Macaca fascicularis: one gene and its partners. The protein of the gene in region 2 purifies or fractionates together with the protein of the main gene of each other region. This does not show direct contact. Links are inferred from orthologs where the notes say so. Each region holds a gene or a part of one and is shown on either strand. Other genes may lie near its edges.

The links. Proteins that work in one complex are often made in the same cells at the same time.
Region 1: the proteins of YAF2 (region 2) and CSNK2B purify together in Homo sapiens (affinity purification with mass spectrometry; 5 studies listed by BioGRID and IntAct, counting the BioPlex papers as one, with this or other methods). This does not show direct contact. The link is inferred for Macaca fascicularis from reciprocal best matches to the Homo sapiens genes YAF2 and CSNK2B.
Region 3: the proteins of YAF2 (region 2) and MAX purify together in Homo sapiens (affinity purification with mass spectrometry; 3 studies listed by BioGRID and IntAct, with this or other methods). This does not show direct contact. The link is inferred for Macaca fascicularis from reciprocal best matches to the Homo sapiens genes YAF2 and MAX.
Region 4: the proteins of YAF2 (region 2) and MGA purify together in Homo sapiens (affinity purification with mass spectrometry; 5 studies listed by BioGRID and IntAct, counting the BioPlex papers as one, with this or other methods). This does not show direct contact. The link is inferred for Macaca fascicularis from reciprocal best matches to the Homo sapiens genes YAF2 and MGA.

Annotation. Positions count from the first base shown.
Region 1 is NC_088378.1:140,053,927-140,058,549, reverse strand, and holds the start of CSNK2B (casein kinase II subunit beta), read left to right. Parts: upstream 1-1,629; 5' UTR 1,630-1,732; intron 1,733-2,315; 5' UTR 2,316-2,326; coding exon 2,327-2,398; intron 2,399-3,346; coding exon 3,347-3,449; intron 3,450-4,012; coding exon 4,013-4,128; intron 4,129-4,570; coding exon 4,571-4,623. UniProt on the Homo sapiens protein: Regulatory subunit of casein kinase II/CK2.
Region 2 is NC_088385.1:48,735,315-48,738,709, reverse strand, and holds part of YAF2 (YY1-associated factor 2), read left to right. Parts: intron 1-1,916; exon of another isoform or gene 1,917-2,003; coding exon of another isoform or gene 2,004-2,050; intron 2,051-2,629; coding exon 2,630-2,782; intron 2,783-3,395. UniProt on the Homo sapiens protein: Binds to MYC and inhibits MYC-mediated transactivation. Also binds to MYCN and enhances MYCN-dependent transcriptional activation. Increases calpain 2-mediated proteolysis of YY1 in vitro.
Region 3 is NC_088381.1:132,921,914-132,926,505, reverse strand, and holds the start of MAX (protein max), read left to right. Parts: upstream 1-1,598; 5' UTR 1,599-1,613; coding exon 1,614-1,853; intron 1,854-2,274; exon of another isoform or gene 2,275-2,327; coding exon of another isoform or gene 2,328-2,384; coding exon 2,385-2,411; intron 2,412-4,592. UniProt on the Homo sapiens protein: Transcription regulator. Forms a sequence-specific DNA-binding protein complex with MYC or MAD which recognizes the core sequence 5'-CAC[GA]TG-3'. The MYC:MAX complex is a transcriptional activator, whereas the MAD:MAX complex is a repressor.
Region 4 is NC_088381.1:18,190,587-18,195,320, forward strand, and holds the start of MGA (MAX gene-associated protein), read left to right. Parts: upstream 1-1,740; 5' UTR 1,741-1,815; exon of another isoform or gene 1,816-2,518; intron 2,519-4,734. UniProt on the Homo sapiens protein: Functions as a dual-specificity transcription factor, regulating the expression of both MAX-network and T-box family target genes. Functions as a repressor or an activator.

The DNA of each region.
Region 1 (4,623 bases), on a different chromosome or scaffold from region 2:
GACAAGCAAGCCAAGCTCCTGGTGACTCTGTAGCAACCAGAGCCTCAGGGACCTGCTGGGATGAGAAAAAGTAGTCAAAAACACTTTCCTGCCGCTAAAGTGACCCCACAACTTAAGACTCTGCAGGGTCTAAGGGAGAGAGTATATGCGTAAAAACACGAAACCCTACAATACCGACTTTGCTCCTTAGTAAAGATTAATCAAACTCCATGAGACAGTCGTCCAGAGGTCCTGCGTCCGGCCCCCACCCCCATCCTTACCAACAATAAATACCAGCCTCTTTCTGAAATCACTTTCTCACCCCGTAAAACAGACATACCAGTAGGAAAAAAAAAAATCAAACCTGGCCCTTTAAGTCTTCCGTGATCCCATTTCGGAGTTTCCTCTTCCCAAACAAAAATAGACGGGTCACTCCCTAGAAGATCTCGGGGAGAGGCTCCTATACGTGTTGCCGTGTAGCTTCCGTAACGCAAAATGGCGCTATTCTGATCAGCAGAGTTGACACAATCAAATAGCCACACGGCACGGAGACGCATGCGTGGCGACAACAACAACAAAAACCACCACCCACATTACTTGATGGCTCAGGCGTGCGCAAAGCTCCCGGTTCAGTTTCCCGCGCTGGAACTTTTCCAATAGTAAACGAGCAAAGCTCCGCGCGCCCAGGTGGCGCGAGCGCTAGGATCTGTCGGTTGGGGTCCTACTTTTACATAACGCCCCCACAATGCCCTTCGCCTTCCTCTACGTGGCCCCCGCTCCAAGCCCATTTTCTGGAGCTAGGAATCCACTCTCTGGGTTAGGAAAGGCCCTCAGGAGGCGGAGGGAAACCTGTGGAATGCCGAGAAGCCGTGTAATGAAATAACGTCACGCCTGCCCCTCACCATTACTCTGACCAGGGTTCGAAGGTCACACTTAGAGACTAAGGGGAAATGGAGAAGTGCAAGGGGACGAGCAGAATGGCTGGCACCACCTCAGGTTAGCGCACTGGGCCGTTCTGGTTCTCACCCAGCCCAGCCCAGCCCAGCCCAGCCCAGCCCAGCCCAGCCCAGCCCAGCCCTCCCAACCCAAGTCCCTACGCACGGAGCCAAGCCGCACCTCTCGCCTCATGAGGCCGGAGCCCGGAGTAAAACAGAAGGCCCGTCAAGGGTCTCTGGCGGGACTGACTCGCACTAGGGGCCCAACAGGCAATAAGGACCCAGCGCATTGGCCAAGGATAGGCCAGTCCCCAGGGAAGCAGCACCGCGTCGGGACTAGAGGGCAACTGTGAGGAGAGCTGCGAGGAGGGGTCCAGCCTGGCTCCCTCCTTTCCCCGCCCTAAGTCAGCTTCTTCGCCCAGTGAGCACACAACTGTATTGCCCAGGCTCCCAGGCCCCGAACGCCATACCTGGTTTCCGCTTCCGGTGGCTTCTCGTTGCGCCCCGCCCGCAAGCGTCCTCCTCCGGGGCTTCGTGACAGCCAGGTCGTGCGCGGGTCATCCTGGGATTGGTAGTTCGCTTTCCCTCACTTAGCCGGTTTCTCTCTCTACCGGGGACTCCGCGTCCCGGCATCCACCGCGGCACCTGACCCTTGGCGCTTGCGTGTTGCCCTCTTCCCCACCCTCCCCAATTTCCACTCCCCCCACCCCACTTCGCCTGCCGCGGTCGGGTCCGCGGCCTGCGCTGTAGCGGTCGCCGCCGTTCCTTCGAAGTAGCAACTTCCCTACCCCACCCCAGTCCTGGTCCCCGTCCAGCTGGTGAGTCTGAGGTCTTCGCTGCTCCTAGTCGCTTGTCGCTGGGAGCCGCACATGGGTCTCCGCACTTTGATATGGGGGCGGGGGGAGGAAGCAACCAGGTCCGGCAAGGAGGGAGAGGTGGCTTGAGGAGCGGAGGGGGGATGTGTGGAATCCGGTGAAAGGGACCTGACAGTCGCCCCCAACCCTTGAGAAAAGGAGGCGCCCGATTCTTGCTTGAGAGTGATAAACTTGGAAATCCTTGGGAAAGGCGCCGGGGTCGTGCAGAGACTTGCATTGGTACGGAGCCTGAGTCGAGGTCCCTGCCGGAGTTGACACAGAGAAGAGAGGGCCCTGGCTTTCGGGAGCTCCAGGGACGTGGGTCGGGCTGGTGGGTCAAAGTATCTGTTGGCTTCTTTCAAGTGGTGGGACCCCAAAGAATGTTTAACGTCAAAGAAAAGGGAACTGAGATGTAAATTGGAGGAGTTGGAGAGGAGTGCTTCAGAGTTTGGGATCCTTTAAGAAAGGGTGGTTCTAATGTGGGAGGAGGGAGGATACCCGAGGCAGGGAAGGAGAACTTGAGCTTTACTGACACTCTTTTTTTCAGCTGACGTGAAGATGAGCAGCTCAGAGGAGGTGTCCTGGATTTCCTGGTTCTGTGGGCTCCGTGGCAATGAATTCTTCTGTGAAGTGAGTTCTCTTCGACCTCCCTACTTGCTGGCTTCACATATCTTCCCACCAGATGTTCCTTCACGTATTCCACTTCTACACTGTTCTCTTACATACTACTTGAAAACTTCCCATCAACGAAGAGTCCCCTCAATAACCCCCGACGAACCTGTGCTAAAGTGGCAAAACTGGGGCCCAAGTTTCGACTCTGCCACCCTCCAGCAGGCAATTTGTGTCTTTTTCTTTATCTTTTTTTTGAGACTGGGTCTCACTGTGTCGCCCAGGCTGGAGTGTAGTGGTGCGATCTCGGCTCACTGCGACCTCTGCCCCCCAGGTTCAAGCGATTCTCCTGCTCCAGCCACCCAAGTAGCTGGGATTACAAGTACCCGCCACCACGCCCGGCTAATTTTTGGATTTTTAGTAGAGACAGGGTTTCACCATGTTGGCCAGGCTGGTCTCAAACTCCAGACCTCAGGTGATCTGCCCGCCTCAGCCTCCCAAAGTGCTGGGATTACAGGCATAAGCCATTGCGCCCAGCCTGTATCTTTTATTACTAAAGTTGTACTGCTAGTACCTGTCTCAGCTGGCTGTTAGGAAAATTGAAATGCTACGTATTGAAATGTTTTGTTCAGAAACCATGCCGTTCAGCTTCCATCCTCCTCAGCCAGCTGAGAGGACAAAACTGGTTCCTAGAGATGGAGTACAGGAGTAGGGACAGAGATCTTGAAAAGAATGTCTAAGAAAAAGATTGCTGTACCTGCTTATCCTTAGAAAAGAAAAGCCAAAGCTTTATGGGAGGGAGTATAGGTGAACTAGGGAGAGACGCAAGTACTTCTGCTGAGTTGGGAGTGAGAAACAAGCGGAACAGATGCAGTTGTGTTGATGATAAGGCATCAGTTAGAGCATTTTGCCCAGGTCAAAGATGGGGATTTTGATATGGGTTCCCTCTTGGCTTCCATGTCCCAACAGGTGGATGAAGACTACATCCAGGACAAATTTAATCTTACTGGACTCAATGAGCAGGTTCCTCACTATCGACAAGCTCTAGACATGATCTTGGACCTGGAGCCTGGTGAGGCACCCTCAGGGTTGTTTTGTGTGTGTGCATGCACTTTTTTTCTCTTCAAATCTATATTCACTTACTTGAATTTTGAAATTTCCTTTGGTTCTCTGATTTCTTTAACCCCAAATTCATGCTTTATTTTGATCCTCCACCTGACTGTGTCTAGTTTTGTGACGTATATCACTTGTTCCCATGTTTTCTAAATCCACAATTCAGATGTTTTCCAAAATATGTTTCCTCATGGGTCTGGTTTGCTATTTCTCCTGCTTTGCACCTTCCAGTCTAGAGTTTCATCTTTTGCATTGACATTGTTGCAGTTATGTATCGGGGAGGGAGCTGGGAGGGAGAGTGGGGAGCGGAGGCTAAAGAGGTGTGAAGAGAAGACAGAGCTGTCTTGGGTTGGCGCAAGGGTCAGAAGCCCAGGTTTCTGGGTCACATGCCCAGATGTTGGATGGGGTAAGGCCCAAAAGTAGGTGCCAGGCGAACTGAATAGCCCGCACCCCCTGGATATGGGCAGGGCACCTAGGAAAGCTGAAAAACAAGTGGTTGCATTTGGCCGGGCTGTGTTTCAGATGAAGAACTGGAAGACAACCCCAACCAGAGTGACCTGATTGAGCAGGCTGCCGAGATGCTTTATGGATTGATCCACGCCCGCTACATCCTTACCAACCGTGGCATTGCCCAGATGGTGAGGCCTCTCTGCTCCTAATTGCCTCCTTCTGAGCAGTAAGGGACACAGGTTCCTGCAGCAAGAAGTCATGTTTAAGCCTTGTTTAAGGAAACTGGCTGAGAAGAGGAGAAGAACCCCAGGCTTGGGCCTGGGAATTGAATTCTGATTGGGGGTCATCCTGAAGGGATAATTTTCAGGGAGGGAGACAGTCCTTGAACAGAGAGTTGTGATAGACTGCCTCTTCCTCAGGGAACAAACAACAAATGGCTCTGATGGTTTGTAGCCTGCCTAACTGGAAGAAAGGCAACATAGGAGTTTGAGAGCCCATCTGGGCCAGAGAAGGGGCCTCTGGACAGAGGTGGGAGGAGTGGGGGACAGAGTGATATGGGTTGAGCTGAGAAGGGAGTTGCCTCTTCTCTTCACACCTACCTGCCAACCCCTTCCATTTTATTCACTTCAGTTGGAAAAGTACCAGCAGGGAGACTTTGGTTACTGTCCTCGTGTGTACTGTGA
Region 2 (3,395 bases):
TGAAAACTACATATATGAAGCCAACATGTGTTGACCTCCTGCTCACACAGGTGGTCAGCTAGCCCCAAAAATATTTTGTCCTAATAAGTAATGAAATGCTCCCCCTTTTCTTACATTATAGTAAATGAATAGACTGCCAAATTTTATACAGTCTATTTGGGCTGTCTATGAAAGATACATAGGGATCCCCAAATTGGTGAATATCATAGCTGACAAATACAGTCTAATCATGGCATATGTTAATAAGTAGATGATGGACTGTAGTTGGCCAGTGGCTTAGTCAGTAGTCATTTATTAACTAGGCAACCATTTTGTGCACATCAACTCCTCATCATGGATCCTTTGGCATTACTAAAAGTGTACTGTCAAAACCATGAATGATAAATCTGTGAACATAAAAAGGTATATTTTATAAATGATACTCTGTCCTTTATTTCCTGAGTTAACTATTTCCCACCTCTAAAATTTCCTCCTATCCTGATTTTTCTCATCAAATAGAAAAGGAATCATAAACCTTAAGATACCTGGAGATAGAAGGGCTTTCTTTTTAATAGGACATGGAGTTGAGTGACTTATGACATTGTAAAAAGATCATCATAAACTGTGTTCCTCCTACCTTCAGTGAAAGCTCTTTAGCCCTACAGAGCAGCAGAGAACTTTAGTTGAATAATTAAACTATATTTGAATAATTAAACTTTATTTGAAAAGTTAAACTACATTTATGTTTTATGCTTCTTTTCTCTCAAAATTCAACCAGATGAAATAATCCTAGAATTGAGGTACAAAATCGTAATCTTTAAGTGAAAATCAACCTTCACATTAAAGTAAGAATAAAAGTGGAATAGTTGTGTAGTATACATTTAGGAAAGCCTAGGATGAAAAGAGAACGATGTACTCAAGAACAGAAAAAAAGAACCACTACAGAAAATTTGTTGATGGTTAGAAAATAACAACAAACAACACTAGGTACAGAGATTACATGATCACTTATTAGACCACTAGTCTCACATTTTTACTTCTACTGTGGTGTAGTACCTTTCTATTTCAGACTAATGCAAGTAATTGTTGTAAAATTCAAGTCTGAATTTCTTCAGTGACTTCTCATCACTTAAGAATAAAATCAGACTGCTTAGGTTTTAATCGTGGGATCCCTTCTTATCTATCCAACTTGGTTTTTTTTCACTCTCTCTACCACTCTGCTCTCCATCTCAAACTTTATCCTATAGTAGTACCAGTATTCACCAGATATATTGCACTTCTTCATGCTTCTTTTTAAAGTGTGATCCCCAGAGACCTCAGCATAACTTGGAAACTAGTTAGAAATACAGTTTCTTGGGCTCTACTTCAAGGCCTACTAAATCAGAAACCCTGAGGGCAGGCTAAGCAAGCTAAGCCTTTTAGGTGATTCTGATGTACCTTAAATTTGAAAACTGCCACCTTAACCCTTTTCTTTTTTTAACCTCAGCCATTAACTACCATACTGTCAATATCACTTTTATTTGTGCAACTCTTAATCTACATCTCAAACTCTATGTCAGTCCTATTTTTTAAGTTGTATATTGGACATCTGTCCTGGATATCCTTTCAGTACTTCAGACTATCTAGGCCCTGAGCAAAATTCATTATCCATCTCCTGAAACCTACTTTACATACTGTTTCCTATTTTCTCTCAGCCTGGCAGCTTTGATTCTTAGATTGTACAATATTTTCTCATTATTTTTTATGTTGTCTTGCTGCAGAGGAACAGGGGGAAAAAAGATTTTTAAAAAACTGTACTAACCAAAAAAGGGTCAGGATTTTTCATGCAATAAAGTTACTATTGTTTGTAGAGCCATCTGTTAAAATGTATTTTTATCTTACTTCTTCCCTCCTTCCCTCTGCCTCTTTCCTTGCTGTATCCTTCTTTCTCTCTCAAGAACTTAGAGACTGTATTTTGAATCTTAACCTCAGTTGTGCAAGTTCTGTGGTAAAGGTGGACAGGTGAAAGCTTGTACCAGCATCAGATGTTGAAGCCAGGCAACATTTCAGATATCCCTGAACAGTTCTTACAGTAGGTTCTCAATAAATACTTTCTAAATGAGTAAGTTAGCAAGTAGATGAGTCTCAAAGGACTGGGTAGATTTCCAGGGTCAAAAGAGCATAGTGAGATTGTGGCTGGAGATGTAAGAAACTTAAAGGATTTAAGCAATAAGGAGTGAGAAATTTTGATAGTAAATGTTTATTAAATGAATAAATGAAAAGCTTTAAAAAACAGATAGCCATTGTCACAAATGGTTAGGTATTTCCTTCTCTGAAGGAGGAGGGATAAATTATTATTTCAGTGTAAACTTTGAAGTTTGATTTTTAGAATTCATGTTTATATGGGTACATCCCATTTAGTTTGATATACATTTAAAATAATTTCTTATGTTGATTTATGTAACAGTATTCTAATGTTTGAACATATATCTTAGACTATAAATTTTAACTGTTACAGTTTGTTCTGTTTTTGTTGAACAGGAAAAACAATGATACATACTTGAAAGTTATTGTATTATTAATTTGTTTTCATAATGTGAGATATTCTCTCACAAAGCACTTATGTTTTAAGTTATAATTTAAAATACCTTTCTTTTTAACATGCACACAGGAAACCTCGACCTGTCTCCCAGTTGGTTGCACAGCAGGTTACTCAGCAGTTTGTGCCTCCTACACAGTCAAAGAAAGAGAAAAAAGATAAAGTAGAAAAAGAAAAAAATGAAAAAGAAACAACTAGCAAAAAGAATAGCCATAAGAAAACCAGGTAAATTTGAAGAGTGTTTTATGACATTTTTGAAATAATAAAACCATTTAATTTTTTAACCATTGATATACTAATACACACAAAGTGGAAGTAAAATATTTGGTTTCCTTTCTTTTAAGGTATCAGAAAAGGTTTTACTGAGTTTGAAAGATACATTGGAAATTAAACACAGAAGCCACAAATACAAGCTTAAATGTGGTGATGCTTTTTTCTTTGTACTAGATTGGAAGACATTGTATCTGGGTGTTTTGTTTTGTTTTGTTTTTCCCTTAAGAAGAGCTGTTTGAACCAGGAGTGGTTTTCAAAATACCGAACAGATAATTGCATGGGTTTTAACCTATCAAAATGGTCATGTGTTCAGTCAGAACAATCATGATACCCTTATTAGTGTGTGTCAGTGGAGTAACAATCTTCCTTGCATGTAGCTCAACCTTAGTTTTTATCACCTTGCTCCATGGTGCAGCTATTTCATTGTTGTCTAAAACATCTATTTTAATAAAGTTAATAAGCTGTCTGCAAAATTATGATACAGCTATAGAAGCACAAGTTCTACTTCTAGGCTGTCACAGTTTTTGGTCGCATTGAAGAATATTCATGAATGATTGGTTTGATT
Region 3 (4,592 bases), on a different chromosome or scaffold from region 2:
GGAGGGAGGGAGGGAAAGACAACCGATATTAAAGGAAAAAAATGTAAAGGAAAAATTACCACATTTACATTTGTCTTTTCAGCATGGATGACACTCTCACGTTGAAGAATGCATGTCACAAGAATTGTGTGTGACATATCCCCAAATTTCCACATTCAAAAGTCAGGGATAATACGGTTTTCATCCGGGAATCAGTAACTCATGGGAAAAGCTCAAGATGTCATTCATTTTGGAGACCAGATGTAAAGGAGTAGTATGGGTACTTTGTCTCAAGGTGGAAAGTGCCTTTCTTATGTTTTTTTCCTTCCCATGGGACTTGTTGCATACTCTTAAAATGGCGGCAGGGCAGACACGTTTGCTTGCACAGCTGTGAGCTGCATGCATAAAAGCAGGGATGGTTTTGGCCTAAGGCAGGGATGGTTTTGGTCTTATCCGTTATGGCATCCCCTTGTGGCACATGTTAGGTGTTCAAAAAATATTGGTGGAATGGATGTGATTACACTTCATGCCACAGTATATAAATATGATTTTAACTGGACAGGGAACTGCCCAAGTTTCCCATATTGATCCTTTTTGCGATCTTAATTATGGTACTCTGAGCTGGGATACTGCCTAAACTGCCTGGGCTACAACAAACTCTAAAGGGCTTTTACTTTCACGTCCACAGTGGTTGAGGGTTCGCGTTCTGTGAATGCTGGAACCTCACGCGAGTAGCTGAGTAGCGAGGATGGTCACTCCCGGATAAATGAATACAGGATTCTCGCGGCTGGGAGCGGTCGCCCGGCGAGGTCGGTCATCCTGCCTGTCCGGTAACACCACGAAACACCTGCCACTGATACCTCCCCACCAGCTCCCGAGGGTTCGCGCCGGCATCCCGAGCCGCACCCCCTGTTCCGCCGCAGCCGGATTCCCTCCAGGGCGGGTTACGCCCCTAGGCGCAAAACAGAACCACTTCGCATCAAGAAGACAAAGTATAACCAGTCACACCAAAAAGAGGCAGCATTATTTAGACAGCCGGCTACTCCCCCAGAGACTCCACCCAGTCCCCTGGGCCCGGCGTTCAGCGCGCCGACGGTGCCCGGCTCCAGGAGCTCCAGCTCCCTCCACGTGTCCTGTCTTCCCAGCAGCCTCCTCTGCCGCCTCTGGAGGAAAATCTCCTGACAACTCGCGGTCTGCGGACTACGACTCCCAGGAGGCGCCGCGCCGCGGCTCTCCCCGCCCCCTTTCCGGGACGCGCAGGCGCCCTGGGCTCCGTCTACCAGCCTGGCTGGCGACGCCTGGATGCGGTTTCTTCCGGGATTTGTAGTTTTTCTGGAGTTACCCGGGCCGTCTGTCAAAGGGACAAAAACTACAAGTCTCGGCTGCCCCAGCGCTGCGAGCTTGGTCACGTGGCGGGGGCCGACCGGGCGTGCGTGCCGCCGTTGATCCGGTGCTGCAGTGAGGAGGTGGTTCTTGCCCGTGTTGTGTGTGTGTGTGAGTGAGAGAGCGAGTGAGTGAGTGAGTGAGTGTGTGTGTGGGGGGACTCGGCTTGTTGTTGTCGGTGACTTCCCCCTCCCCTTCACCCCTTCCCCTCCCCGCCGCCGCTGCAGTGGCCGCTCCCTGGGCTGTAGGAAATGAGCGATAACGATGACATCGAGGTGGAGAGCGACGTGAGTCCTGGGGCTTCTTCCTTCCCGTGCGGGTTGTCAGGCGGGGACAGCGGCCGGGGCTCTCAGCGGGGCGACGGCGGGAGGGGGCCGGGCCGCCGCCGCCTCCTTCCCCTTCCCCTTTCCCTCGGGGCCAGGACTGCCTCCGTCGCGTTCCCGGCTCGCTCCCCTACGGCTCCTGGCCGGAGCGGCCTCCTGGGACTGGAGGTGGGGGGAAGACACGCGGCTTCTGGGACTCCCACCTTCTCCCGTGGGGGAGGGTGCTGCGGCCTCCCGCTCCCACCTTCCCGGGCTCAGGATCCGGGGGACAAGGATGGGGGGCGCCCGGGATCCCATTGTCCGGATCCAGGGGAAGGGGACGGCGTTCAGGACCTGCCCCTTCGGAACGCGATCCTCTCCTCCCGTGACCCGCGGATCCTGGGGGGCGAGGAAGGGCGGAGAGGGGTTGGGGGTGCCTAGATGCCCGAGCTGGGTCTGCAGGGAGGAGACAGTGCTCGGGACCCCTCTGGCCCGGGTCGGATCCCGGAAGGAGGGGCGGCGCTCGGGACCCCTCTATCCCGCTACCGGATCCCGCCGAGGGTGGAAGGGTGGGGGCAAGGGGTGGGGAGGGAGGAAGGGGTGTCGGGCTGACTCCCCACCCTCCGCTTCCTCTGCCGCCGGCATTTTCTTTCTTATTATTGAATGTTAAGTGTAAAAATAACTTCTATATTTTCTATTTTTTTTTCTCTCCTATTCCAGGAAGAGCAACCGAGGTTTCAATCTGCGGTACGTCTCCTACTCTCCATTTCATTTTTATTTCCGTTCAGTTCTATTCCTTTTTGGGGTCAGAGAGAAAAAGAGATCGTACTGTTACTTTTAATATTGTAGTAAATCACTAATGTTAACCACTAAGGTGAGGTGGGGCCTGGTTCTGGAGGGTGGGGGAGTTGCAAATCCTATCATTCTAGATTCTCAGGTGATAAGTTCAGTAAGAGGAGCTGTATGCAAAGAATTGAATTGTTCTGTAGTTTTCAAATAGGGGATCCAGCTGCCGCTATGTAAGTGGAAATGAGAAATGCAGCATTCTGAAGTCAGTGGTAGTATTATTTCAGGGCAAAGTGGTCAGAAGATTTATTTAGGAACAAGTAGATTTTAAACCATATCTGTATAATTATGTGAAGCTGAAGCCACATGCAATAATCGCCTTTAACCAAGTCATGTGACTGCTATAGACCTGTAGAATCTAGCACAATGTGGTATTCTAACACAAAAATTGGAAATGTAGAGGAGCCAAACGTTGCATCATCAAAGTGTCACATAAAGTTATTATGGTCTGATTCTCTGTATTTGAAGAAGAGGTATAAAGAAAATTAAAAAATAGCTGAAGAAAAGTGGCATTGCAGGAAGAGCTTTGCTGAAAGGTGATGGATGAGACCATATAATGTTATCAATAATTTTTTAGGGTTTTGATATTAATGTTCCCAGTAGATGGTTCTGTGGATTTAGATATGCACTAATTTCATGTCTCTGGAGTCTGAGACAGTAATATGGGTTTTTCATGAATAGATTAGAGGGGAAAAAAAGAAAACATATAGAATAAATCAGAATCAGAGGGGAAGAGAAATAAGTATATCAGAATTCTAATATTTGAAATTGGGAACAGTAGGAAGTGTATAGAATGGGGGTAAAAAATTTGAATGCCCATGAGGGCCATAAAGAATAAAGAAAGAAGAGGTGAGGACTTGGGTACTGGAGAGCAATGCCTCTCCTAAAAGGTCAGCCACTACTGAATTCCAGTGGTTTGTTATGTAGGAGTGAAGGGTCAGTATTGCCAGATCTTCCTATTTTTTATTTTATTTTATTTTATTTATTTATTTTTGAGATAGAGTCTCGCTCTGTCACCAGGCTGGAGTGCAATGGTGCTGTCTCGGCTCACTGCAACCTCCGCCTCCTGGGTTCAAGCGATTCTTCTGCCTCAGCCTCCTGAGTAGCTGGGACTACAGACGCACACCCCCACATCCAGCTAATTTTTGTATTTTTAGTAGAGACGGGGTTTCACCTTGTTGGCCAGGCTGGTCTTGATCTCTTGACCTCGTGATCCGCCCACCTCGGCCTCCCAAAGTGCTGGAATTACAGGCGTGAGCCACCGCGCCCAGCTGATCTTCCTATTTTTTAAGAAAGATTAGAAATCCAAAGCGTTATGTTATTTTTCTGATTTTTAAAATGATGTGTGGAACAACTGTTTGGGCTTGTTAGAATTTGCAGGATGTCACTTTGATACCTCTGGTATAAGAACCTAATAATCACAGGATAAAGGCAAGCCATCTCAGTTGTACCTGCTCTTCATTAGAGCAAGCAAAGATTATGCAGGTTGTCTAAGCAAATAGGCATTAAGAAAACTTATTTATTGAGAGCTGGTATTTTCTTAAAATCCGGGGATGTAGTTGTTCCAGAAATCTTAAAAATTATCCCTGGGTAATAGTCATTAAAGATAATTTATTTTGTTTTATTTATCCTTGAAGTATTCTCATATACTTATGCATATATTTGAAAATTGAATTCGTTTTTTTCGTTTACTTTTATCCTTCATGTTTGGGGCCTAGTCTGTTGAAAACTTTTTTTTTCCTGCAAGTCTCCAGTTGTAAAATCTGTGCCAGGGCTTGATCAGAGACAGAGGGTAAGGATCGTTAGGCTTCCTTTGCAGAATTATCCTTTGAATTGGAATTATACTGAATCCTAGTAAGAGAAAGTTTTTTTTTTTTTTTTTTTTTTTTTTTTGGTGAAATTTTGGCTCACAGTTCTTGAAAGCGTTCTGCTTTTCAAAATATTCGTCCACATGATTGTTGATGTAAATTTGTTTATTAAATTATTACAATGTTTCTGCTTTCCTGGAATGCTAATCTCACTGTTTTGTCTAGATGTTTTTAGTTTGCTATTAAGGTGCCTAGGGTTTTTCCTTTTGATTTT
Region 4 (4,734 bases), on a different chromosome or scaffold from region 2:
AGTCTGGGCAATAGAGTGAGACTCTGTCTAAAAAACAAACAAACAAACAAAAACAAAGACAATCCAAAAGTGGCCTCAATTTGCAGTTAAAGGAACTGAAAATCAAAAAGTTCAAAAATGGGTGGGCATGTGGCTCACGCCAGTAATCCCAGCATTTTGGGAAGCCTAGACAGGCAGATCACCTGAGGTCAGGAGTTCGAGACCATCCTGGCCAACATGGTGAAACCCCATCTCTACTAAAAATACAAAAATTGCCAGGCATGGTAGCAGGCGCCTATAATCCCAGCTACTCAGGAGGCTGAGACACTACAATTCCTTGAACCTGGGAGGCAGAGGTTGCAGTGAGCTGAGATTATGCCTTTGTATTCTAGCCTGGGTAACAGACTGAGACTCGGTCTCAAAAAAAAAAAAAGTTTAAAAACCTGTCATCACAATCAGAGTGCAGGAAGTATAAGAGCTGCAAGTTGACATGGATCTGTCTGACTTCAAACCTTGGGTTCTTTCCACTACAGCCAATATGTCCCAAATCCAGTTGTGCATAACAATTGCCTGGAGAACATGTTAAAATATGTTTTTCCAGATTCCCACTCAAGACTGACTCAGAAAATGGTAATACTAGTATGGCACTTTTCTCTGAGTTGTTATAAGGATTATACATAATGAATATTAGAATGTTTTATAAACTTCAAATATAACATCATATGCTTACAATTTAATGCTCTTTATTACACATGATCATCTAATACCCTTTCTTTTGATTTTCTAGTCAGGGAATAATTTTCTGATAATTAGGCTTATGAAGTACCTTGAAATTAGAAAAGGGTGCCACAAACTATATTTTGGCTTAATAACCACATTATAAATGGATACATTTAATTTTTAATCTATAAATAAGAACTCTTGAGCTTGACCATCGCTAGTCAAATTCTTCAAGCTTAATCATCTCTTTAAGAATTGATGAAATCGTTCTGAAATCGGCAAAGCTGAAGAATGGAGTTCAAAGCAGAAAAGGTGTGAATTGTTTTAAGTGGGGGTTTCATGGGAGTAAAATATTAGGTTTTGGCCTGAAGGGCAGTTTGTGAATATGTTACAAAGTTAATTGGTTCTGATGCCTGACCACTTTTTCTGAGTTAGGAGACGGTGTTTTTTTTTTTCTCGTTTCCAATATACCGTATCTCGTATGAGGTGGAACCAGTAACTGTGATACAGGCATGTCCCTGACTCCTTTAAAACGCCGCATGCTCTTATCACCCTGCTTTCCCCAACAGTAGCAGTGAGTTTAGCAAGAAAGGGCTCATCTTCTATCCCAAGGGAAATTCCAAGTGCCATTTCCACTCTCATGTGGGGCTCCTGGTAAGTTGCATTTAAATTAGCATTCTTTTTCATTGGCCAGGAAAGGCTGGCAGTTCATTTGTAGGCAAATACCCTTGCTGTTTTTTTTTTTTTTTTTTTTTGAATCTTTACAAAGTCACTCAGCAGGCACACACTTAACGCTTGCTCCGTGGAGAAAGGTTAAACGGTTTCCCCAAGACCACACAGATCAAACAAGTCGGGGAGGAGGGGCTCAAAGTGCCTGGTATACCTCGCCACACTCCCATAATTACCCAAACCGTCTCATTCCAAGCCCAAGGATCGGGCTTTCAAAGGGGACACGAAAGGAACGCCCGGGAGGTGAGCGCCAGGAGATCGGGAGAGGTGCCTTTCCCGGCATGCTCTGCAGCACACCGAGGGGCGCCAGGCGTATCCCGGCGTGCATCGGGGAGCGCCCAAGGGCGATGGTTCCCGGCTCCTGGAGAGGCGCGCGAAGTTAAGCCGGTAGGTGCGAGCTTCCTTAGCTTTGAACCTCTGGTTTCTCGTTTCCTCTTTATGAGTTTAATTCCATAATGGCAGAAAAGGATGGCCCTCTAACTACCCTCCCTCTCCGCGTGCGAACGACTCGGCGCCGCTTCGAGCTCGGTGCCAGGTGATTAGCGGGTAGGGGCGGGCCGGCGACCAGCACGTGACCCGAACTGGCAGCCAATGACTAGCCGGGTGGTCCAGCAGCGCGAGGATTCCGGGACCCGCGAGCGGAACGGCGCGTGGGTCGGTTGCTGTCGGCCCTGGCAGGTACGCGCAGGCGCTTTGCTTGCCACGCGCTACGCCCGTCCCCACGCGCCTGGTGGCGTGTTCTTGGCGCGAGGTGTTAACAGTCTGGGTGTTTTTGTGAGTTGGGGGGAAGGAGAAGGTGGCGGGGAGGGGGCTGAGGCGTCACGTGGACGCCACAGCCAATCTCAGGCCGAGGCGCACCCACAGCTTTCCCCGGCGCCCCGGGGTGCGACGTGTTCATTGAGGTTCGACCGGGCCCTGACGGCCTGAGCGCTCTTTCGAAGCGCGTGTGCGGCCCGTAAATTCTGGCCGCGGCTTTTCGCGGCGTCCTGCTCCGCGGCAAGCACAGACGACAAGTTCTCAGCAAAATGGCTGCTGGAAAGAGTCGCCAAGCAGGGGGAGCGCTGGGGCCGCGTGAAGGTCACATGACGAGGTTGGCAGCGCGTGCTGCTGGCGCGGGGCAGGGGGAGGGTGGGGGGGGCGTGGCGGGTCACGTGCCTTCGACTGCGCCGGCCTGTGGTTTTCCAGCGTCTTTGCTGCGGTCGGATTGCCTGTTTTTACTCCTCCCACCTCGAAGCGTGGCAAGCGTCGGTGAGAAGCTGTGTGGTGTACTGGGATGAGCCGAGATCTGGGAATTCGGAGGCCTGGGGTCCAGGCCTTTGGCTGGTTTCATCTTGCCACTCTCGGCTTCCATTTCTCATTCAGCTCAGTAGAGGAGATCACCTCTTAAGGCCCCTCATACGGCCTCTGACTTCCTCACTTCAATTTCAATGCAGAAAAAAAAAAATTTAACAAATTCTTAACAATTATAATGAGACAACCGCCCCCCCCCCCAAAAAAAAAACCCACAGCCTCTCCCCTCTCAATCTTTACAGTGATGTGGGAAACCTGGTAGAGGTAATTTGTTATAATATTCTGGGCATGTCTCTCCATCTTTATCATTCCCATTTATACTTTATAGGGGCCCACGACCTCATTTGAAAAATACTGTCTTTTAGACATCTAATCCCTATGTATTTTCTGGGAGGAAATCAAAAGGTAACTACTATTGTCATAACTGTGGAGATGGGGAAATAGTAGTATTTAAAGGGAAATGCTGATCACCCATAACGCTGACTAGAAGGGCCTAGAAGTCTTCGTTTCCACTTGATGGGCTAGCTTTGTAAAATTTTAGAGACCTGGTAGCCTGTGGCATTTTTCTTGGTCTCTGCTCCCAGTTCCAGCTCTTTATTTCACCAAAGAAGGGTCAAGGCGTTGGTGAAGAAAAGTATAAATTGTTTTCCACACCACTGCTTATGTTTTATGATACCTTTTGATTTATCTTAAAAAGAGCCTTTGAAGATTGTGCGAACACATCTGGAAAACATTTATTGAGCAATCATAATAGCTGTCACTTTTGAGTAATTATAATAGTTAACATCTTTCTGGCTTGGTGTTTTAAATACTTTGTACTGTATTTAATTTATTTAGTTCTCATAACAAACCTGCGAGGTAAGTACTGTTATTTCCATTTTACCACTGAGGAAAATAGCAACAGAGAGATATGGCTGGCAGTTTTACATGATTCCAACCAGATTTCCTTTTGAAAACTTGACAAAATGGTTTTAAAATTCATTTGAAAAAGTAAACCTAGAAAGTAAGAAACTTTTTGGAAGAGAAGAATGGGAAAAGGACTTGTACTAGAGAATATACAAATAAAGCTTTGATAATCAAAATGTAAGTAGCAACCCTGGAACACAAGAGTGGTGAAACAGAATAATCTAGAAATATATAAGATTATTTAGTGTTACAAAGGTGGTATTTCATATCAGTAGGGAAGGGGTTCCAAAATTTATGTTGGAACAATCAACTGTTTGGAGAAAGAATGGGATTTTTACCTTAAAATTTAAATAAAATTGCCGGGCGTGGTGGTTCACGCTTGTAATCCCAGCACTTTGGAAGGCTGAGGCGGGCGGATCACCTGAGGTCGGGAGTTCCAGACCAGCCTGACCAACATGGAGAAACCCCGTCTCGACTAAAAATACAAAATTAGCCAGGCATGGTGGCGCATGCCTGTAATCATAGCTACTTGGGATGCTTGAACCCGGGAGGTGGAGGTTGCAGTGACCAGAGATTGCGCCATTGCACTCCAGCCTGGGCAACAAGAGTGAAACTCTGTCTCCAAAAAAAAAAAAAAAAAAACTAGGTGAATTATATATATATATGTGTGTATGTGTGTGTGTGTGTATATATATATATATATTTTTTTTTTTTTTTGAGAGGGAGTTTTGGGCTTGTCCCCAGGCTGGAGTGCAGTGATGCTCACTGCAACCTCTGCCTCCTGGGTTCAAGCAATTCTGCCTCAGACTTCTGAGTAGCTGGGATTACAGGTGTCCGTCACTACACCTGGCTAATTTTTGTAATTTCAGTTGAGATGGGATTTCGCCATGTTGGCCATGCTGGTCTGGAATTCCTGACGTCAAGTGATCCTCCAGCCCCATAGAGATGGGGTCTCACTATGTTACTCCAGGCTGGTCTTGAATTCCTGGGTTTGAGCAATCCTCCCACCTGGGCCTCCCAAAGTGCTAGGATTATAGACATGAGCCACCGAGCCTAGCCAAATTAAATTTTTTTTTTTTTTTTGAGAGTCTCACTCTGTGGGCCCAGGCT